Linked DNA regions of Tribolium castaneum. The protein of the gene in region 4 purifies or fractionates together with the protein of the main gene of each other region. This does not show direct contact. Links are inferred from orthologs where the notes say so. Each region holds a gene or a part of one and is shown on either strand. Other genes may lie near its edges.

What was found.
Region 1: the proteins of Polr3H (region 4) and Polr2H purify together in Homo sapiens (affinity purification with mass spectrometry; 5 studies listed by BioGRID and IntAct, with this or other methods). This does not show direct contact. The link is inferred for Tribolium castaneum from reciprocal best matches to the Homo sapiens genes POLR3H and POLR2H.
Region 2: the proteins of Polr3H (region 4) and Polr3B purify together in Homo sapiens (affinity purification with mass spectrometry; 8 studies listed by BioGRID and IntAct, with this or other methods). This does not show direct contact. The link is inferred for Tribolium castaneum from reciprocal best matches to the Homo sapiens genes POLR3H and POLR3B.
Region 3: the proteins of Polr3H (region 4) and Polr3C purify together in Homo sapiens (affinity purification with mass spectrometry; 5 studies listed by BioGRID and IntAct, with this or other methods). This does not show direct contact. The link is inferred for Tribolium castaneum from reciprocal best matches to the Homo sapiens genes POLR3H and POLR3C.

Annotation. Positions count from the first base shown.
Region 1 is NC_087396.1:10,296,293-10,301,722, forward strand, and holds part of Polr2H (DNA-directed RNA polymerases I, II, and III subunit RPABC3), read right to left. Parts: intron 2,189-5,430; coding exon 2,005-2,188; intron 1-2,004. UniProt on the Homo sapiens protein: DNA-dependent RNA polymerase catalyzes the transcription of DNA into RNA using the four ribonucleoside triphosphates as substrates.
Region 2 is NC_087398.1:9,957,152-9,963,272, reverse strand, and holds the start of Polr3B (DNA-directed RNA polymerase III subunit RPC2), read left to right. Parts: upstream 1-2,023; 5' UTR 2,024-2,166; coding exon 2,167-2,217; intron 2,218-2,271; coding exon 2,272-2,426; intron 2,427-2,474; coding exon 2,475-2,651; intron 2,652-2,719; coding exon 2,720-3,008; intron 3,009-3,056; coding exon 3,057-3,379; intron 3,380-3,523; coding exon 3,524-3,767; intron 3,768-3,817; coding exon 3,818-4,018; intron 4,019-5,779; coding exon 5,780-6,121. UniProt on the Homo sapiens protein: Catalytic core component of RNA polymerase III (Pol III), a DNA-dependent RNA polymerase which synthesizes small non-coding RNAs using the four ribonucleoside triphosphates as substrates.
Region 3 is NC_087402.1:6,495,703-6,501,832, reverse strand, and holds the start of Polr3C (DNA-directed RNA polymerase III subunit RPC3), read right to left. Parts: upstream 3,773-6,130; 5' UTR 2,538-3,772; coding exon 2,391-2,537; intron 2,340-2,390; coding exon 1,613-2,339; intron 1,559-1,612; coding exon 1,047-1,558; intron 1-1,046. UniProt on the Homo sapiens protein: DNA-dependent RNA polymerase catalyzes the transcription of DNA into RNA using the four ribonucleoside triphosphates as substrates.
Region 4 is NC_087394.1:25,643,267-25,649,206, reverse strand, and holds the start of Polr3H (DNA-directed RNA polymerase III subunit RPC8), read right to left. Parts: upstream 3,533-5,940; 5' UTR 3,439-3,532; coding exon 3,328-3,438; intron 3,282-3,327; coding exon 3,098-3,281; intron 3,051-3,097; coding exon 2,797-3,050; intron 2,742-2,796; coding exon 2,691-2,741; 3' UTR 2,690-2,690; intron 2,649-2,689; exon of another isoform or gene 2,367-2,648; coding exon of another isoform or gene 2,218-2,366; intron 2,166-2,217; coding exon of another isoform or gene 2,017-2,165; intron 192-2,016; coding exon of another isoform or gene 1-191. Other genes in the region: F-box/LRR-repeat protein 16, read left to right, coding at 1-191, 2,017-2,165, 2,218-2,366; putative ATP-dependent RNA helicase TDRD12, read left to right, coding at 3,837-4,180, 4,231-4,615, 5,016-5,574.

The DNA.
Region 1 (5,430 bases), on a different chromosome or scaffold from region 4:
AAAATAAATTTTGTGTTTTGTATCCTTGTCTGTAAATTGAGAAGAGTTAAGGAGGAAGTGCAGCACTTTGATAAAAAATGATAACTTATTTTGTTTATCTACAAAGGTTATATCTTATATCCTTAATTGATCTTTTTTAGTCGTCATACGTCTATTCTTAATTAAAATTAAGATTACAATAGAATGAAGTCGGTCAAGATTACGAGATATGTGTTGTCGCACGCTATACTTGGATCTAAACAAGGTTACAGCTGAAAAACTGAAAGTAACTGATGTAACAATATCTGTTTTATTTATTATAATTTATAATAAATTAAAACCAAAGAAATGAAAAATGCTTTCGCAAATTATTTAGCATGAATACTAACACAAATATTTTTTAAAAGGTAAACAAATGTTTTCAGAAAGCTTTTAAATATTACCGAATGATTCGATTTGTTGTTCTCTCGATTTCAGGTAATCATTGAAAATTAGCTTCATTTTGTCAAATTTGGTCGACCAATTAACAATAAATTATTGTACACATTTTAACTAGATAGGTATTTTTTATTCCGTGAAAATGGTATTAAAATAATACGCCTTTTTAACTTAACAATTACGAGCAATATGCAATATACAAAATACTAAATTTTGTATTTTGCAATTTTTATACGCAAATAAAGACTCAACAAAATGTAACGTTAAAGAGAAAGAATTAAAGTTATACCTGCAGTTTAACAAGCTTATATTCTGTTAAAACAGTGGCATGCAAATATTTTTGTTAAAACTTCACACGCAAATTACTCTTACGATTCAGTTGCTAAAAATATTCTATTAATCCACGCTTACGGAGGGCAATAACTTAGGAGACGAACGAGATACGAAATCACAGGACTTTTCCGGTACAAATTGAAACCCAATTCACTAATTACTTGGAAAAAGTGTTAAAATGTTGAGCTTTGCAGACTGAGAAAAACTGACGACTAAAATTTTCATGAAAAACGTGAGAAGAAAATTATTTAAGATTTTTGCGATTCATCCCGTATTTTTCAAAACGCTGCGAATACGGTTAAAGATACAAGAAAAATATGAGAAAGAAAGATGGAAAAAATTTTCTTTTAGAAAAGTCTGCGAGACCGTATCTCTATCATCAACGGTTTAAGCGTCAAAGACGTTCAAAGGTGCTTAAGCGTTGGATTTCTTTCATTTTACCTTTTACTGGTGGTCAACTAACAAAGTTAATTTATACCAAAATTGTAAAAGATAGAAATACAGTGTCGCGGTTTTTTTTTGTATAAAATTTAATTCTTTACAACTTTCTTCCTAATATTTTTCTTGTACTGTAACTGTATTCGCAAAGTTTTGAAAAATATAGGGCAGAGTGCAAATTAATATAAATTTGAATTTTTTTAAACATAGTTTACAATAAAATTTTTGCATCATTTTTATCTCTTATAATTGAGAATTGAATGCTCTATCTGCCTGTATTTCATTTCTTTGCCTTGTGCTAATTATATACAAAGACAACAATTTTTTAAATTCACTGCTCTGAAAACTTGAAGGTGAAACAACTGCGCTCTCTGGCGTCATTAAAAAACACCATCAAGAACGAGAACGTTTTGTTTGTACGTCGTTTCGCATCCTAAGCTTTAGATATCCGTATCCACGCTCCAAGCACCGTCAGTAAGTTACCAAAAGAAAACTTACTCCTCTAGAAGTTTCTTTTGCGTCTTAAGTAAAAACAATCGTCGAAAGCAAGTAAAGAATGATAAAAATCGTAATAAAGCCTATTATTAAATATATTGCATCCATAAAAATAAATAGCTGTGGCTCACTTATCAGGAAAATCACTACAACATAATGCAGCTCAATATAATATGAGTGGACGTCGTACAATCTCGTATTTCCCTTTTAGTGGTGTAACGACCGATATAAAGGCAGTACAACAGCGCATTAAAATGCAAATTTCAAATAGAGGAAACGCGATAAATCCAATGCGGGTCGTAATTTAATGTTTATACTCACAGTCTGCTCGATGGTTCCACTGCTGCTTCGTCACCCTCGATACGGTAAACTTTTCCTGACATGACATACTCAAAGCTGTCGGCACGCGAACCTTCTGTTTCTAAGCCCTGAGGATTCCAATCGCCACTATCGGGATAACCATCCTCTCGCAGAGTTGTTGCCAAAACCAATCGGAATTTGTCACCTATAAAAAATCCAAGAGTCAAATCAAATAAGAGAATTGAATCCGTCGAAGCGAGAAATATAATATTCAATAAAAATAAAACGCCCCGAGCAAAGGTTTCCTATCGATCATTGTTAAAAGTGACAATAAACAATTTTTATAAAATTCCTTGGTCCGTCCATTTTACTCAATAATCAAGTTCGATTTGTTGACGCCAATCTTCCAACAAATCACAAATAAATTGTCAATATCAACTGAAGTTGAAAAACGTTTTTGAATTTTTCCGACGGCTGTTCAGCCTGAATTTATTTATACCTAACTGCGAGGGAAAACCCTAATGTTCAATTTCATGAACTAAATTACCAGAAGAGAGCTCTGTTAATAATTCCGCTACTCCGGAAAATAACGCTGGCTTGAAATTGAGTTTATTTTGAGGCTGCTCCCGGAAAAACAAGCGGCGAACCTTCTCTCTCTCACACACTAAATATTAATTTTAAATTAAAATGTTTTCAAACAAAGCGAAATCACCTGAAAATCATAAACTGCAGAAGTGAGTCTGCAAGAATGATAATTTAACAAAAGGAAATTCTAAATTTCGGTTCCTTTTGTACAGAAACTAGCAGATTACAATTTAATGCAACAGATAATACGTGGGAAAAATTGGAAACTCAAAACACCACTACAATAATAATAATAATAATGTTTTCTAAATAAGCTTATAAAAGTTATTCTATTTGCATGGTCAATAAATAATAACAGAAGCATTTCCTCACAATTCATCGATTCATACTGGGTGAATTATTTATGGGTTATTTCCAACATGTCGTTATACAGGGTGAGTCAATAGTGGGTTATTTCTGAATTTCTATAAATATGCAACCAATAGTAGCGATTCCAGCTGACCAGATCGGTAATCGTTACAAAAATTAAATTTAATCCAAGTTTACATTGTTCTGGGTAGTGTCAAGTTTGTCTTGACAGTTTTGCTAAGGTTTCATTATAGATTATTATTATTTAAAAGATAAAAAACCAGTGTTGATTCAATTAATGTTTTTAAAAGTCAAATGAAGCTCCAAGTGGTCAGTGCAATTAGTATTTTTGGTTGCATCATAGGACATGTCAGAAGTCACCCACTATTGACTCACCCTGTAGACGCAACAAAAAATACTAATTAGTATTTACACTTATTATATGGATACTGCGTTTGATTTTTAAAACGTCCATTAAAACATTGTTTTTTGATCTTTTAAATAATAAAACCGTTAAGACAAACTAGGCAAAACTAAGAGCAATGTAATTGTGAAATAACTTTTTGGACTATTACCGATCTGGACAGCTGAAATCGGTATTATTCTAGTATTATTAGTTGCATATAAAAAAAAATGATTTCGGCCTATGTAGGACTTTACCACAATGTATGTATGTAGAAAATATGCAAGAAAATACATAACAATATAAGTAAATAACTAAATAACAGTGGAAGATAATGTTAAAAGTAAAAAAATAAATTTATATTTCTTTTTACTTAAAAGTATACAAATATCTATAGATAAGCCAAATCGTCGTAGTTTTAACATAAAGGTATGTTAACATAAAGAGGTTTTAAAGAAAGGTCTTTAAAACCTCTTTGAAATAACAACCTAAACTACAATTAATTGTTCCTTTTACTCACACTCACAAAGTATATTGCGTTAAAATACTGTTAATTAATATTTAAAAAAAAGACAACAAAGTTTAATCAATACGATATTGATTTATGGTTGATAAAAAGTTTTTAAAACTTTTGAACAGTTTGCAGTACCTAACTTTTACTTATTTTTCACCTAAGTCCCTGATAAAGTTGACTAGATTTTTTTTTGCTACAACATGTATTTTTTAGAAATCATTTCAACAAAAAAGCAATCCCTTATTCATACATTTGTGTGTAGCTTCTTGCACTACGTTTACAAACCATGACATTCAGAAGAGTCTCAAGGATAACTCACTCTATAAATACCCAGAGTTGTCACCTTTCGGCTTATTCAAACTGAAAATTGATTTTGTTTTCCTAAATATTAGATAAATAAAATTAATAAATTAACAACTTTCAAAAGTCGGTATATTCGTTAATTGGTTCTAAATATTTAATAAACTAAGTTCTTTGACACTGGAAATAAATGATGTAACAAGATTCTATTCAGTGACGTTTCCTTTATTATTTAATACTCGTATATTTAGAATTAATGTTACATGAGAAAGATGTTATATCGAACGTATTTAATTGTTTACGTGTTTGATAGCATCCTACGCAAAAAAAGTTAAAATAGTGATAGACTATACACTACTCGTTTTAAACAATTACTCATGCATTTTCCAAGAATTAGGATCCACACATTTATTTAGGGTTTAATGAACTAATTTGATGCCCTAATGAGGCATTTTATCCATAACAGTATAAAAACATGAATCCATCAAACAAGGAGTACAAAGACTTGTACTTCAATGTAAACGGTGCTTTATTATTGAATCCTAACTGCATACACACGAGTTATTCTTAGACTTGAGAAAATAAATCAGAAAATTACCTGTAAGTACGTCTTTCAAGACTTCTTTTAAATTAAATGGATCATTAATCTAACGATAATTGCACACTGTATTATTGTTGGTCATCTGTAGGCTTAAAACCTGCAGAAAACCTAACGAGCAAGTTCCACAATTTATGAACTAAACACCTACGTGAACACTTATTATAATGTAGGTAAATACATGAGAATTCCGCATTGTATTAGTAACGGCAATAAAAAGAAAAGCAATTTTCAAAAAACGATCTTATTGATTTCCAATTACAATATTCGATCAACAGTAGAACGAAGCTTTCGTTCAGGAAAATCATCCGCTACGCGTTATTTTATTATCTGCGAAGATTATTGAACATTCTTTGTTTTATCCCAGCAATTTGTCTTGAATAAAATTTACGATCCTGAAACGCGCAAATTAATCCGCGAGAACAGATCTACACTTGAGATAACAAGAGATAAAGAAAATATTTTAGGAGCGGAAACAATGACGTAACAACAACAATAATACCTTAATTATTGTCATAAATGTGTGATCAGTGATCACATTGCATCCAAAATTTCCAATCATGTGATCAAACAACGCAAACACGTCACCTTAACATATTCCCACCGTTCTGTTTAATCCATTGAGCAGGAAAATTACAGAAACAACCACTACTGATCCCGATGTTGCCTAAATGCCACACCACACGATAAACAATGACG
Region 2 (6,121 bases), on a different chromosome or scaffold from region 4:
TGTACAGTCATGCCTAAATGTCAAGAGGGGGAAGGAAAATCAAAGAGAAAATTGACGACATTTTTTTTAAAACTAGCAGGGTACGCAACAGAAAAGTTTAAAGAATTTTTAAACTGATTATTAGAATATTAGAAAATGCTAATTAGTACATCGTCAATTAGTACTTTAAAAAAGTGATCATTTTTTGAAAATATTTTTTTTAGTTTTACTGCGGCGATTTTTTGGTAAAAGATTATACTCTAAAAATTACTTCTAATTCAATAATATTGTTTTTGAAGCAGTGTTTTTTTTAAATAAAATATTAAAGTTGCGTTCCAAGTTCATTACTACGATTTTTGGAATTTGTATCTATAGATGTTTTTTATTAGAGTAATTTGATTAGTAAAATTTTTCGCAAATAAAAATTATTTTGTGGTAATTACAAATTAAAAAAATAATGATTTGTTAAAGTGCAATGCTCATTAGGTGACTATAATAAAATAAATAAAAATAAATCATTAAAACTGTTCTAGCGTTCTAAAGTGTTTTTTTTTTTATTTTTTCAAACACAATAGCAATGCCAATTAATTGTGAACACCATCAGTAATTGAACTTTTCTTTGTCATTCTTAATAAGTTATTAATTTTATCACCAACGAGCTTAGGAAATGTAATAGACAAAACTTTTTATTTAAAAGAATACTCATTTTTCCCATGTTCCGTTCAAATAAGCTTTGTTAGGAGGTTGCACAATGAGTGATAGTAAAAAGAATTATACAATTCACACAGTATACTCGTACATGTTACTTCTCAATGTTCTCATGTTCTCACAGAATTCATGTTTTTTTACAATAGATATACTTATTTCGTCTTTTGATATGTAAAGTAAAAATAACTGCTAAAAATAGTTATTAATAATACGAGTGCGAAAACACAAGCTTAAAGTTCGAGGGCTGTCGTTATGCAACGAGCGTATGCGAGAACCCGGAACTTTAAGCGTTTTCGCATAAGTATTATTAAGTTTTTTTTGTTGGAACATTTTACTTTAAAACACGTTGCTATGAGAAGCGAGTTTTAAAATAGTGAAAACATTAATTTAAAACACGTTACTATGGGAAGCGTCTTTTAAAATAGTGAAAACACGCTGCTATGGGAAACGTGTTTTAAAATAGTGTTTTTCTATTTCGGTTTCGTACTGAGGTCACTTTCATTACGATACGCGATTTGCGTATCGTAATATCCAACGGAGTTCTATAATAATTACACTAAAACCAGGGTAATTTATTTGGATAATGTTTACAACCTAGTTTTCTGACAATCATTTGTTTCAAATGTATATTTTAATCAAATAAATCAAATATGAACCTTTAGAGGCTCTTGTACCATACATGATTCAGTGCAAGTAAGTAATTTGAGATCTCATATACTAATATAGTCTAGGATTCAGATATTAAAAAAGGCTTAAAATTTTACCAACAAAAAACATTTTTTTAATTTACCACTTATAGAAAACTTTGTATATAATGAACTGATTTTGATGCATTTTCTGAATATGTTATAACTTACAGCCGGATTCCACTGTATTTTATTTGCTATTTTAGATTGTTCAGTAAGTTTTTATAGGCAACCAATCATACGATTTTTCGAACGGAGGCTTCTTTCGTAACAAAACACGGTGGCAAAGTTTCTTTTCTAAATCTGACGTCCCTTAAGTAGCATATCACCTAAAAATGATTTTTTTTATTAATTTTAATTTTTTATTAATGACAATAAATTTCATGGCAATGTAAAAGTATACTAATTTCACATTACATTATTTGGATTTTTATCAGTACTTACAATTTCAAAGTACCCATAAAAAATTATGTAAAGTATTTGTGAAATCTGGTCTTTAAAACACACACTATATAAGTATATAGTATAAGACTAGTATATATAGTATAAAACTATAGTATATTAAAGTTAATATACTATTAAAATTTTGAAATTTTTAATAGTTTTTGCAATCGTGTTTTAATGCAACCGAAAAAAACTCAGTTCGAAAAACCGTATAATTGGTTGCCTGTACACCCAACTCTCTACACCACATAACCTACATGTTTAACTTCACATTTTCAACATGTAAACAAATAGTTATTAAGCGTAACAGTGATAAACTAATTAATAAGTTGCAACAAAAAGCGCTGAAATGGATTTTGACGATCCCGCCCTTCTCAAAAAACCAATCAAAGAAATCGAAGTAATTCAAGTTTCAAATTACAAAACCTAAAAGGTATTCAAAAATCATTTTTAGGAAAAATGGAAACTAGTGCCCGCCTTTTTAAAAGTCAAAGGATTAGTAAAGCAACACATTGATTCGTTCAATTACTTCATCAACGTTGATATTAAGAAAATCGTGGAAGCCAACAACAAACTAGTTTGTGATGCCGATCCTTTATTCTACGTCAAGTAAATTATAAGGCGCTTTATAAGTTTGGTTTTATCTTAATTTCGTAGATATACAAATGTTTATGTTGGACGACCGGACGTTGACGAAGGCTTCAACATTAGCAAACCTACAACCCCTCATGAATGTAGGCTGAGGGACATGACGTACTCAGCCCCCATTTCCGTAGATATTGAGTACACTAGAGGCACTCAGCGGGTATCCAAAGCTGGTTTAATGATTGGCAGGTAATTTATTAGAAAAATAAAAAAAAATATTGTAAAAACACCAATAATTTTTTTAAATAACAATTTAGAATGCCAATTATGCTCCGTTCCTCCAACTGCGTCCTCACCAACAAATCCGAGTACGAATTGGCAAAAATGAACGAATGTCCTTTAGACCCCGGCGGCTATTTCGTCGTCAAAGGCCAAGAAAAAGTGATCTTAATCCAAGAACAGCTCTCCAAAAATCGAATGATAGTTGAAGAGTCCAAATTTGGGGTCCAATGCGCTGTCACCAGCTCCACACATGAGAAGAAGTCGCGAACCAACGTCGTATGCAAGGCCAACAAGTACTACCTAGGACATAACTCCCTAACTGACGTAATTATTTTGTGCATTCATCGTCAAATTCCCAACAAATTTTTGCAGTTAGTCCCTGTTTCAATCATCTTCAAAGCTTTGGATGTGACAAGTGATAAAGAAATCTGCGAATTGATCGGAGTTGAGGATATTTCTAAACTCACTCCAACGTTAGAGGAGTGCCACACTTTAAAAATTTACACTCAGCTGGGGGCACTTAAACACATAGGTTCGAAATTAGTAGCTAAACGTTACGTGACGTCTGCTAGCAAAATGAAAACGCCAGTTGATGAAGCGAGGGACGTTTTGGCGACCACTGTTCTAGCCCACGTGCCTGTGGAAAACTACAATTTCAGGATGAAGGCCATTTATTTGGGAGTGATGGTCAAAAGGTAAATAAAAAAGTCAGATCATAATCACCGGGTGACAAAAAATTGAAATTTTAATTTGGCAACCCTGAGTATAAAATTCTCTTGTCAATTGTCTGAGTGTTGCCAATTTCAAGGTACAATATTTAACAATTTTTTGTAAAAAAGGGTGATTGAGGCACAGTCGGACAAGAAATTCATGGATGACAAAGACTACTACGGCAACAAGCGTCTCGAATTGGCCGGCTCTCTCCTTTCTCTTATGTTCGAGGACGTTTTCAAACGCTTTAACTGGGAACTAAAATCCATCGCTGAAAAAACCATCCCAAAAATCCGAGCGACTCAATTCGACGTTGTCAAGTATATGCGCTCGGATCTGATCACCAATTGTCTGGTCTACGCAATTTCGACGGTAGCCAATCACAAATCGCCGCGATTCGGCTTCTGATTGGTCGGTTTCAGGGCAATTGGACCATCAAGCGATTCCGAATGGAGCGTTTGGGTGTGACTCAGGTTTTGTCACGGTTGAGCTACATTTCCGCTTTGGGGATGATGACCAGAGTTAATTCGCAGTTTGAGAAAACGAGGAAGGTTTCAGGACCCAGGTCTCTGCAGCCGAGTCAGTGGGGAATGCTGTGTCCGAGCGATACACCCGAAGGAGAGGTATATAGTAAATTTTGTTTGCTTTTTTATACATAATATTACGGAGCAAATTAAATTCTCTGACTCTTTTTTGTCTTACGCCATTTAGTTCTGTTTTTATCATTGATTGTCTAGCAATAGCGTTCGCACGTTTTTAAATTGTGCTCGTTGCTCGCAAAATGCAAACACTTCAGTTAAAACCATACAACAAAAATTGATAGAATAAAGTAGCTGTTTGGTGATTTTTTTATTCGATCGGTGAAAAAATTAAAAAAAAAATTCTCGATGTACTTATAGGGAAAAACGTTCTATTATACACGTAAAGAAAAGTTGGCATTATCTGCTCGTAATTCCTTTCAGAAACCCATCACTCACAGATAATGAACAGCTTTTCTTTACTTGTATAATAAACGACTATTTTTTAACGATTACCAATCTGGTCAGCTGGAATAAGTATTATTGGTTGCATATTTATAGAAATTCAGAATAACTCACTATTGATTCACCCTGTATAGAAGTCTAACTTTACTAATAATTAAGCTACAGAAGACGGGAGCTGAGCAGGGTTATCCTGTATGAATGATTTGTATAAAATTTCCTTTTTTTTTGTTAATACGACTTCTTTACCTTGTCAGGCTCTGTTGAGCAGAGTTTAAAACATCGAACGCAAGCCAATGCTGTAGTTAATATAGTTATTAATAATACGAGAGCAAAAGCTTAAGCTTAAAGTTCTAGAGCTGTCGTTATGCAACGAGCTTATGCGAGTGTAATTTAACTTTTTTTGTTGGAATATTTTAATTTAAAACACGTTGCTGTGGGAAGCCTTTTTTGCTAAAAATTAAGATAGGCAATATCTATAGTCAAAAATTTTATTTACCAAAAAAAAATTCATAACTCGAAAACTAAAAGTCGTAGAGCAATGCGGTTTGTTCCATTGAATTCAGCGGCTTATTTTGCGTATAAAACCATCTTTTAACAAGATGTAAACTTTTAAAGTTTTTTGCTAAAAATTAAGATAGGCAATATCTATGGTGAAAAATTTTATTTACAAAAAAAAAAAAATAATTCATAACTCGAAAACTAAAAGTCGTAGAGCAATGCGGTTTGTTCCATTGAATTCAGCGGCTGATTTTGCGTATAAAACCATCTTTTAACAAGATGTAAAGTTTTAAAGTTTTTTGCTAAAAATTAAGATAGGTAATATCTATAGCGAAAAATTTTATTTACCAAAAAAATTCATAACTCGAAAACTAAAAGTCGTAGAGCAATGCGGTTTGTTCCATTAAATTCAGCGGTTCATTTTGCGTATAAAACCACCTTTTAACAAGATGTAAACTTTTAAAGTTTTTTGCTAAAAATTAAGATAGGCAATATCTATAGTGAAAAATTTTATTTACAAAAAAAATAATTCATAACTCGAAAACTAAAAGTCGTAGTGCAATGCGGTTTGTTCCATTGAATTCAGGGGCTCATTTTGCGTCTAAAACCATCTTTTAACAAGATGTAAACTTTTAAAGTTTTTTGCTAAAAATTCCGGTTATCCTCGATTTTTCCGTTTCTCGATAACTCTAATAGTTTCGCCGTAATTGGCGGTTGAAAATTGAAAAAAAGTGAAAATGGAAAGTGAAAAGTCGTAGAGCAATGCGTTTTGTTCCATTGAATTCACCGGCTCATTCTGCGTATAAAACCATCTTTTAACAAGATGTAAACTTTTATAATCTAGGATTCAGATATTAAAAAGAAGGCTTCAAATGTTCCATAACCGCCAAGTGTTAATTCCAGGCGTGCGGATTGGTGAAAAACCTGGCCTTGATGACCCACATCACCACCGATGTGGACGAATACCCCCTCATCCGATTGGCTAACAACGCTGGAGTTGTTGACATTAACATGTCCTCAGGCATGTCCATCCACTCCCCTGAAACGTTTTTTGTTTTCTTGAACGGTAACATCCTCGGAACGATTCGCAACTACAAGAAACTGATCCACACATTCCGGATGTTGCGACGCTCAGGCCTCATTTCCGGTTACGTTTCCATCTACCCCAACTTTTTGCATCGCTGTATTTACATTAGTTCGGACGGAGGGCGCTTGTGCCGACCGTACATCATAGTCGAGCGCGGA
Region 3 (6,130 bases), on a different chromosome or scaffold from region 4:
ACATTTTTAAATACCCCACAATAACTTACATAAAAAATGCACGCTTTTCCACAACATTTCGATTTAAAGGCTTAGTTAGCTAGACTTTAAGGTCATGGTTAGCCTTCCGCGCAAACATGTAATTAATAATGACAACACGTTTCAAAAAATTTGTGTAAAAAATTATTTTAATTTATTCCCACTCTCGTGTGGTGTTCGATAACTAGTTTTTGACCATTTTTTTGAATATTTAATAAATAATATTTAATAATTTAATATAAGTACGACAAATTTAACACTTATAATGATCGCTTTGTTAGAACCTGGTAGTTTTGTTTCACAGACGTAAATTTAAAAAATCTCTAATTCAAAAAAAAAAAACATACAGACTAAAAACTACAGATACTAACAATCTGCTAGGTTAATAATAGTCATTTACTAAGTGAAATATTGTAAATGCTTGGTAAAATAATCTAAATGCAAAGTGATAATTTTCTTTTAATGAGATTTTCTAAGAAATAATAATAGTAATTACTCCTAATAAAACATATACCTCCCTAAGTATCTAACATCCACTTGCTAAGGTAGATATTTGCTATGCTAGTCAAACAATTTTTGATGTAAAAATTTGATTAAAAACCTCTCTAAAAAATAAAAAGTAGTAGCCCCTCTTCTAATTAATAAAAAAAATTGATTTTTTTTTCTTAAATACTATAAATTATCTTCAGTTGAACTTATGTTTTCACACAGCGTTTATATTTATTTTTTACCTAACAATTACTATTTTCACCCAGCATTTAATTTATTCCAAAAAATTACTGGTAGCAGATGTTAAGTAAACCATATGAAAATGAATGATTTTCTGGCTTTCATAATCGTCAAAAAATAATCAATTGAAAGAGTACTTAAAATAATATTACTAAAGATTATATAAATTTAACAATGTGAGCTCCTATACAGACATGTGCGGACAGATATTTTGTCGGTTATTTATCCGCAATAATATTGTTCGGACAAATGTGCAGACGGCTAACCACGGCCAAAATATAAAAATAAGAAAAACTTACGTCAGATAATTGCTCGTCTGCCGCCCCCTGTGCCCTCATCCCCATAATAATCGTGTCAACACGTTGTTTCTTATCGATAATTCTCTTATGAACCAACCTTTCGTGATTTTTTCTAGTCATAATATTAAATAAAGTTTTATAACACAATTCTAGAGTCATTCGCACGATTTGGTCCAAGTTTGTATAAAACAAAGTGAAGCTTTTATTAGGACCATTACTGGTCGATTTTTTCAAATCCTGGACTTGCAAAAAATTCTCTTCCAGGAGCTGATAAGAGAGCCGTTTTGCTTCTTTAGCCGGAATCATTGCCAGTTGTTGAATCTGATCCGGTTCTATGTATTGTTTCGACTTAACAAGACGGAAAATCCGGGCGGCTTTAGTATCGAATTTTTCCAAAACTATCTGTTCCACAGTCTCCCATGCAAATTGAGTGAACGTCTCTTTCAGAAAAATTTGAAAAGAACCGCCACCTGCCTCTCCCGACTGTCTAATTAATTTAGAACTGTCTTGCTCTAAAAAAAAATATTTGGACTGGCAACAACTTTGACTAACGACTAATGACTAACCCAAGACATTAACGTATTGGTCAAAAAACGCCAAAAGGTGTTGATGAGTGGCTTGTTTCCTTACAAGGTCCCGAATTTCAACAATAGGGACTGGATTCGAGACCTCAGCCCAAGGCTGTGTCCTAATGTACATTTGTTGTAGCAAAAGTCTGACAAATTCACCCGCGTTTTCGTCAAACTTTTTAATAAAAGCATTCACAATTAATTTGTCTCTCATGTCTTGATGAAACCTATCGAAGTTAACAGTCCAGTAAACGCCCTGGTCAGGGAGAGAATCCACTGGTGCTTTATTGCTCTGAACTAAGGCAATTTGTTTAAAATCAATTGTCGGAGGTGCAAACTGTTCCGTCTCTTTTATCACTAAACTAGGAACAGGTTTATCTTCCATACTATACGGCAACCGTATCAAATATTGCGCGGCCAACAATGAAAAAAATTTTTCTCTTAAAGCTAAAATTGTCACGTTTTTGTTATGATCTTTTTTCAGTCTCTCAATCACTTTCAGGATTAATTCAGACGCCGTCCAGTAGCTCCGCTGTAGCAATTCTTCCATAATTAATTCACACTCAGTCCCAAATTTCTTTTTAATTAAATTAATGTATTTGGCGTAGCGCAACATTAATAAAACACGCTCATGTTGCAGTGTATAATTTGCAACGTTTTCATTGCGATTGGGGGTGAACGTGACCAATCTGTACTTTATTAAAATACATAAAGCTTCCTTGACCTACAATTAATAAAATAAGGGGCAAAAAGTGCACAGTTTCATTTAAAATACCTTAGATATGGGCAAATCTGTGTGCTTTTTGATGTACAGAAGGGGCACAGTTCCGTACTGAAACAAGTAAGTGCCCACCTTCTCGACCACGGGGCCGAAACGTTCGAGTAAAATAAGGGAAACTACCCTTCCGTATTGAATCGACATCGGGATCAAATAAAAAATATTGCAATGTGATTACTTAGAAAAAATTAGGTTAGGCTGCTTGTCAAAATGTAGAAATACAGGTTTCTTTGTTACCGGGAAAATAATCAGTGGTCCGTGGGTTTTAATTTAATTTAATTAGGAACTAATTTATTGTTTCTTAGTGCAAAGCAACCTAATTCGAATTACTTTAAGTTGGAATTAAAAGTTTCATTTGCTTCGTCTAGGCCATACACTTGTTATATATTTGGTTGCATAAGCAGTTTTTGAATCCTGAATAATAAACTTTTTTTATTGTTAAATATGCAAACGCTTGCCTAAATACATTTTTAAATCGGCAATCGAATTGATTTATTGTTAAAAAACCTGCCACAAGTCCATTAACTGATGTAAATTATTGGCAATAAATAATCCTAATTACATACAGGCATCGGGCCTTCAATTCAGTTTTGAAATTTTTCAATAATAATTTTGTAATTGAGTCTCGTGAAAAATTCATTAGGCATAGGCGCTAAGAAGGTGTAACCTCCATATGCAATTTTTAAATTGTTTACAAATAAGTTTATTAAAAATTTATAAGCAGAAGGTGATGATGAGGTGCGATTTATAGAAACAGATGCGTCGTCGGCTTGTGGGTTTACGAATCCATATTTATGAGATTGTTCATAATTCAATTAATTACAAATTATTCATATAATTTATGTCGTTTTGACTTTACCATTGTGCAACTCCGATGATGGTTTACTTATAAATTGTACTTGCAACTCGACTTTACTACTTTATTAAAAAAAACACGTGGACTTGTAGGTGGCTTAAATCACGACTACTCAAAACACAAATCCGCTTATTAAAAAATAAAGTAAATAAAATTTGAATAAACAAATTTAAGGTCACACATGTGAATAATTGCACAAAATGTTGGCTCCGCCACACCCTCAAATCGTTACTACAAAAAAGTCATAAACAAATGACATCAATTCAATTAGTAAATCAATATAAAAGTAGCAAGTCACGTAAAATAATCCAGAAAAAAATTTAATATCAAGTTTTTTAACCCAGTCATATACAGCAGGTCCATAAATTATTGCCTAAGTAGATGTGACAGGAAGGGGAGCTAGACGGCTTGGTAACAAAAACTGCACGCATGACAAATGATACCGGTCGATTTAAACCGAATTCCTTCATGCCATGAATAAACCGGCAGTGATTCTCAAAACCCACCACAAAAGAAGATTTAACATATTTTAACTCATTAAAAAAATATGAAACTGTGGTGGCTCCTAAACCTGAATATTTTACCCAAAGTAGCCTAAGACTTGAAATTAAGTTGGCAACGTTGACACGAAATTGAAGAGCCCAATGTTGCCAATTTAATTCGATCGTCGTAGGCCACTTGATGACAATGGCATTCTGATATGATCTGCGCCGCCCCCAAACTTAATTTAAATGTTTATTGAAGCATAAGTCGCCTGAAGAAAATATCATCGATCGCCTCGGAAGCTGCAGCAGCCTATGGAAAAGCTTACCTACTCCCACTCTCTTTTTGTGCTTTATCCTCCCGTGTATTCGATAGCGAAAGCGTGCTGTAGAAACAACTGAACATCGCTCACACAGCGTGTCTAGTCGCCGGTGGATTGTGATGTTCTAAATTTTCTCGTCTCGCCGTCTAGATCCTGTCAGAAATTTTAAAATTTCGACGTTTCATGTGACAGTGACAGCATCTAATGAATTAAAGTCACAGTGAATTTTATTTTACGAGCAAAAAATAATGAAATAACTAGAGTCGGTCTAAAGTGTCGTCTACCTGTACGAGGGGTAAGTGGGATTTTCTCTACTTAAATTATTTACCTAGAAGTCTAATGCCTGGCGAGTGGTTTTAATTAAATTTATAGTCCTGCATTTCTAAAAACCATAAAGATATAAAAGTGTCCTCGGTGAGTTATTGCTTGATAAAGACACTTTAATGAGTTGAAAAGTTAAGTAATATTTAAAATAAATTACTTTAATGTCTGTCATTAAACAATTTTCATTCCTCAAATTTCTGGTGCATTTTTCTGTACAAGTTAATTATGTTGTTCAAACCATACCGGTTACGTGTAGGGGAAATAGTAATTAAGCTCTCCAACCCCTTGACATCACGCCCTCGTCTGTATTGTCTAGACCTGAAGTTATTAGAACTAGTTGTTAACAAACCAAAAATATCTTCAAATCACGATAAACTGTCTTTTTCTTAAAAAAAACCTTATCTTTTTGGAATTAACTGATACCAATGTTTGCCCAAAAATATGGCTAAACAATCAAATGCCAGTTCCCTAAGTAAGGACTACATTTACTTTTAAACCAACATTTGCATACTGTAATTATAATAATTTAAATAATAATGATTAATCTGTCTATTAACTGGAGATTAAACTGTCTGGGCTTGTTTATTTATCTCCTGACACCTTTGAAATTAATGTATTGTTACATAATTAATTTGTTTAACAAGGAAAAATAGTCATTATTTTTTCTTTATAGTCGGATTATATGTTCTGTTGCTTTAATTAAACGAACAAATTGTATAATAATCGGCGAGAAATGAAGTTGTGTATAAACTTTTACAATGGCAATTGCTGATAAAATGTTTGAATGCAATTTCAGATAAATATTTGATTCTAACACACCTATTTCATAATATCTGATAATTGATAAACTACTGTTTCCGTTTTTGAAAAAAATAAATTCCTGAGAACTGAACAAATAATTGATTTTGAAAAGAGCGACCCCTATTCAGGCAAATACTAATTAGTCATAAGTGTAGGTAATATCTTATTTTTCGCAAAATTCTCGAGAAAAAATGTTTGTAAATAAAATGCGAAACGTGAGTGTTGTAGTGTTTTAAAATAAGCAAAACGTGCCCAAAAACATATTGTTTAAAGATTTAAAAACGAAAAGTACGTAAACATTTTTCTAAATTGTACTTAGATCTACGTTTGATTTTTAAAATGCTGTATACGGGGAATCAGAATTTTCAAAGAAAATCTTGAAATTTGCAATCCTTATCAATTATTAATTTAGTAATGTGGGCGTGCGTTTCGTCATTTCATTGTAGTTCAGTTAACTACGAAATAACTTGAGTGGAAAATTTCAATGTGTAATTTTGGCCGCTTTCGCACAAATTTGACCATAAACGAATTTATTGTAAGTATATGGATGCAGTTTACGTTTGTTTACTTTATTAATCTTTTATTGCCTCCGAGACAAGATAAAAACTAACATTCCGTAGTTAAAATAAATACTAGTTCACTTGTTTTTTAATCTTATCAAACAGCTCATTTAAGAAATATTTGATTAATAGTAATAGAACCGTGTCTACTTTTTTAGCTTGTGTCGTTTGTTGATGGTAAAATCTTTGTTTGTTTACTTAAATCGGTTCACTACACTATTCGGAACAGTCTAACATCTGTCACACAATTACTACTTCACGCCGTAAAACCACCACAATCAAGTCGAAGAAATGACGCTATTGTGTTACACAGCTACTTTATAAAGGCACAACAAGCACTGCTATTTGATAATTGACCAGTGCAAAAATTGTAAACCGACTTGAGATGAGT
Region 4 (5,940 bases):
TCTCTCCCGAATCTAACGGTCCTCAGCCTCTCCGGATGCAGCAAAATCACCGACGACGGCGTCGAACTCATAGCTGAGAATTTACAAAAATTGAGATCGCTCGACTTGTCGTGGTGTCCTCGAATCACCGATGCTGCCTTGGAGTATATCGCGTGCGATCTCAACCAATTAGAAGAGCTTACACTCGATCGGTAACCAAACAAATTATAAGCCACAATTTCATTTAAACACAACGCAAAACTAGATAATTACGACAAAAATTACCTTACTTTAAGCTAAAAATTCATTTATTAAAAGTATATCTCTATATCTCTAAAACTAAGAACCACACAAAATTCAGCGTTTGCTATTCAACACTTTATATTTCTCCCTGTGCCTGTGAATTTTTTAAAAAAATTTCTACAATTCCTTATATTTCAAATTAATTAAATATATGAAACACTAAAAATAACTGTATAACCAACTTAAATTCAAATTTCCACAGCCTGATGAGATATCATTTAATTTGAAAGAGTATATATTTTTTAATTTGTTTTCCTTAGCAACGGTATCGATTATTGCTCTTTTGTTTTCTAGGTTATTGAATTTAATTTATTGTTGAAATTACAAGTTTTTAATTGTTTTGCACATCATTATACATTAATTGTTGTTTTTTTTAATTTGTATTTGTTTAATGTTGCAAGAGCTCGCTAACGAAAGTCAAAAAGTATGATATGAAACAAAAATTAACTTAAAAATTTAAGTTTGAAGACCTAAATCTCGTGAAAGAGGGTTCAAACAATTTTTTGTCATAGGAACTTTTAATTCAGCACCCAAGAAATTGTACGGTACTTTTGAATCACCGTGTATAGAATTCAATTTCACTATTTTTTTATTTTTTTAATTCAGCTTGTAAGCATTTTAGCATTTCAGTCTCTTAATACGAGTATATTGATTTTTTATTTTAGACTGTGTGTTTCAATTATTAGTGTTTCTCATTTTCAGTATCTTCTACTTTCTAGGGAAAAATGCTAGTTGCAGACTAAATTACTTTTTAATGTTGTAATGTTTAAAGTAGTGTAATTTTTTTTTATAAAAAATAGATACAGTGAGTTCATTTTTTGGTTGAAAGAAATTCTTACAGAAAACGAACCAATTTTACACCAGCAAATTTAAAACAATATTTAAGTTAAACGATTAATTAACTTCTTTTTTTATCCCCTTAATTAAACGCTCGAATTTACTTCTCGAGTTTAAATCTTTACGGAGATAAAATACATCTAAGACCCTTATACAATAAATAACAATTTTTTTCAACAAGAAAATTTTTTACAAAAGATATTTCGTTTTGTTTGTTTTTGTAATAGAATGTTTTACAATAAAAAATATGTTTTTATTATTCCTGATGTAGGAATTAAAAAAATATATCGGAAAATACCAGATTTTAACACGTAATTTCTGTTTTTCCAATATTTTTTGCTTCCTAATTAAAGTAAGTTTTAACCTCATAAAACTCCAATCTGTATTAATTAATTATTTCTTAAGCATTTTAAGATGTTATTTTGTGCAAAAAATCCTAAAAGTAATTTTTCCCAATTTTTTATTTTTTAATTTTTAATTAAAAAATATTTAAATACATGCTGCGGTGGTAGATTAAGCTTATTATCAATTTTTTGTCCAAAACCTTGTTTCAGGATAACACTATAAATAATAAAATTTCCATTAGTTTATGTTTATTTTTACTGATATTACTGATATTAATTACTAGTATTAATTACTATTAATACTGATCTTAATATTTTTATAAATAACTCTATAAGGGAGGGTAAAAAATTCTGAAAAAATTCACTTGTGTGGAAAAAAACATTAAATATAAAGCAACACACCGTGATTCCTATGCGATTATTAGTTTTTGAGATATAGTAAAAAATACTTTTAGCAGAAACACTTGCATTGTGTTTAATGTATTTTTTAAAGTTGCAATAACTGGTGGCCACTGATCAAAACGCAATCCGCTTTATTCGCTTTATTTCACAGATGTGTTCACATCACCGACATTGGCATTGGTTACATTTCAACAATGTTGTCTCTATCTGCACTCTATCTGCGCTGGTGTTCACAAATTCGAGACTTTGGACTTCAGCATTTATGCGGAATGAGAAATTTGCAAATACTATCGTTAGCAGGTCTGCCACATACCACAAATAATGACATAAATAACTGAATTCGAAATTTCAGGGTGTCCATTATTGACTTCTAGTGGTTTATCAAGTCTGATTCAGTTACGACATATGAGAGAATTAGAATTAACAAATTGTCCAGGGGCATCAAAAGAACTTTTCGATTATTTGAGAGAACATCTTCCGCGTTGCCTCGTTATAGAATAAGTGAACCACTTGTCCACTTGTTATATTTGATACTAGATTGTGCAATAACACTCGATTATTTTACACACGGCTTTCTTGACCAATCACAAATTGACAGAAAAATAACAACAGATGGCGCCACACAATGTGTTACTGATCAAGAAAGCTGTGATTTTACGGTTTAATTCGGTATCGTTCGTCACCTTGTCTCGTGTTTGATTCGACTTTTCCCTAGTTTTAATTTAGTTAATGTGGTGTAAATAATGAGAATATGTTTCGCAAGTAAATCAGAATGATATTTTACACACGTTCATACTTTATATCCCTTCCATAAAATTAATTACCTTAATTATCCCACCAAGACAACAATCCCAAACCTGGCTCATTTATGCTCCCCTGTGACAAACAAATAATTTTAATCAAGTCATACAAACCCAAGTTTTTTTCTTACAGTTAAACTATACGGCACTTTATTTTCGGACTTGTCTTGTGTTTCTTGTAAACTACCAGTGGGGCAAGTCTCATTAAAAAACTCCGCAGTTACGCGAAATTTGATCGTTTCACCAGCATCCATGAAAAGGTCATGTTTGCACCCGTCTCCTGTGTCATACTCCCACACCCATGCTTGTTCAGTTTCGTTAAACTTTGAAGGGTGCTGAAGGGCACTGGGAGGGATCAAAATATCGTCAAAGAAACCAAGAGTCACTAAAATTCGCAATCATATTTAACATTTCACAATATAATTGTCGTACCGTGAACCCCTTCCTGACTGCAACTCCTGATTTTCCCCACGAGAATCTCCTCAATAAAGGGGCGAAAAACGATGTACCTGAAGCTGACTCTAGTGTGTGAAGCCCCATCACCGGGAAATATAAACGATTCTTGGAGACTGGTAATGTCGTATAAAGCTATACACAAACCAACGTTGAGGACTACCTTAAACTGGGGGTTAAAAGGGGCTGAAATGTGCTTCTAATCTCACCTTGTTTGCTAGTTTTTTGTTTAATTCTCCGGCTATGGCGTCGTTTAGTTTCAAGTTGAACAGTTCGGGGGGTATTCGGGTCACATTTTTCATTTCAGCCACTATAAACATCGTTTAACAATTGTTAAACTTGTTAACAGCTTCGTGAAATTTTGAGGTTGTGTTGCACAGGACGCGCCGAAAACACATGGAATAGTGGTACCAATCTATAAACCCAAATAAACTAACGTATTTTCCAGAGTTTTTAAAATTAATTTCGCAAAGTTATTACAATAAGAAACCCGAATTTGGTAACAATTTACCGTGGGATTAGTTATGCAACTGTTTCAGTAATTGTTTTAAAGCCGAAATTCCGAAAATTACTTTTTGGAGACTATTCATATTTGCAACAGGTTGCATCATTCAAATTTGGAAGTCCCTAGAATTAAATAATTTTTGTTGTGTTTTGTTGTGGTGTGTTTTTGTGAATTTGCACACGTTTTTGCCCTACTTAAGGCCTTTCAGTCGCAATGGCCACCAGGGAGAAAGACCCTTTCGACAGCGACGAGCAAAAACACTCCGATAGTGATGGAGCCCCAAAGCAGACTTTTGAGCCCGAAATCGACAATCCAGAGATGTTCATGAAACCGGCGTGTGAGTGCCAGAACTGCGTCCATTGGACCCAAAGCGCCGACTGGACAACGCCGGATTTGGAGTTCGAGGGGCACCACAAACGTGTTTGCAAAGAGCGGAAGATTCAACCCTTGTTACGATCGGCACGACATCCAGGGAAAACCCCTAAGATCTTCACTTTCAATCCTGGCACATTGACAAAAATTGAGAAACAAAGCTACTTGAAGACCCTAGTTCACGGGTACTTTGCGCCACTTTAGACCAATTAAAATTATTGAAAAATAATTTCAGGGAGGTGATCCCCCAGCCTGTAAAGTTGCTAACAGACACCTACTTTAGCGACGAAATTCAAGCTGCTTTGGGTCGCCTTAACTACAAGTATAGTTTACCAATCCAATCATTCGTCTGGCCCGCAATTTTCAGACAATTGAATGTTGTTATGGTAGGGGGGCCTAAGTCGGGGAAAACCATGTCGTATCTCCCGGCCCTTTGTACCTTCAGTACAGCTGAAGAGGAAAAATATCGACAATTATCAAAGTACAAGGGCCCGTTAGTGGTTATTATTTGTCCAAACAGCAAACATTGTGAAGATGTATACGATTTGATGAAAAAACTGTTTGAAAATAGTGCCACTAAACCAAAAATTGCCCTCATGACATATCCAGTCCACCACATTGTAAGTCACACAGCTTGCCCTTCACGTAGCTGGTCGCATTGTGTGGGGCCATCTGTTGGTTTCCACTGACAAATTCTCTTGTAACCATAGTTACAGCAGATAACCATGGCAATAACACGAATGCGACCAATCGTGTGAAGGGAAACATATCATGAGATCATTAGAATTTATAACCAGAGTGGGCTTATTAGTTTTTTAACTTATATGAAAACGCCGATTATCATAATTAATCAAGCCGAAGAGTCAAGTAATAATACTGTTTCGAACGGTAATACTCAGTTAAAATAGATTTTTCCTTCAGTTTGCACCAGCTTAACAATCACAAAGAAAAAAACACCTACTCTTTTTATAAATTCAAATGATCGCGCTTGACTATTTTTTAGTCATTTGTTATTTTCAGAACAGCGTTGATATCGTGATTACAATCCCCAGCACTCTTACACATTGCCTTAAATCTCGGACTTTTAATTTGAAACGAATGTGTCACTTGGTGTTAGAAGACGCGAGTTGTTTACTAAAAAACAATCACGAAGAAATTTACAAAATTTTGGAAGTCACTGATGAAATGCTTGAACACAGGATGTGTAGCACCAAAGTCCAATTCATAGTAGCTTCAACAAAATGGACATCGGATTTGCAAAAATTACTCAAATCGATTTATGTAACACCACTTGTTTGCATAGGGAATTATTTGGAAGCAGCTCTATATGGGAACATCCAATTCGAAGTAAAGTTTTTAGTGTCACAAAACAAGAAACACTACATTGAAGGATTATTAAGAGACAAGAGTCATCTTTTTAAAACTATTGTTGTGTGCCATAATAATGAAATAAGCGATTTGAATAAATGGTTGGTTCGAAACGGCATCGAAGTCATGGCTTTAAATGATGATTCGACTAAGGAACAAATCGAGGTTTGTGAGGAAGAATGGGCTTTTATGAGAGGTGGCCAATACAAAGGTAGGTTTAATGTGGCTCCATCTATTGATATTATTGCCCTAATTACCAAATTAAAATTACTTGTTTGTATTAAGTTCCTTCATTGGTAATTCGTTACCACAGTTTTCACTTAATAGCTATTTATACAGGTATTTAAAGTATTTAAATTCTATCGTCTCAAATTTCTATCTCCATTTTTTTGGAGATACAAAACTTACTTAATTTTTTTTGACAAGGGTCAAATTTAATATTTTTAAAAAGAGCAGTTTCTTCTCAATTGAATAATGGAAACTTTAAAAAAGTTATCGAACTAACAAAATTCTGAGAAATGAAAGATTTGTTAGCCTTGAAAATGTCACCTTTATCTTTGTCCTTCAACTACGGGTG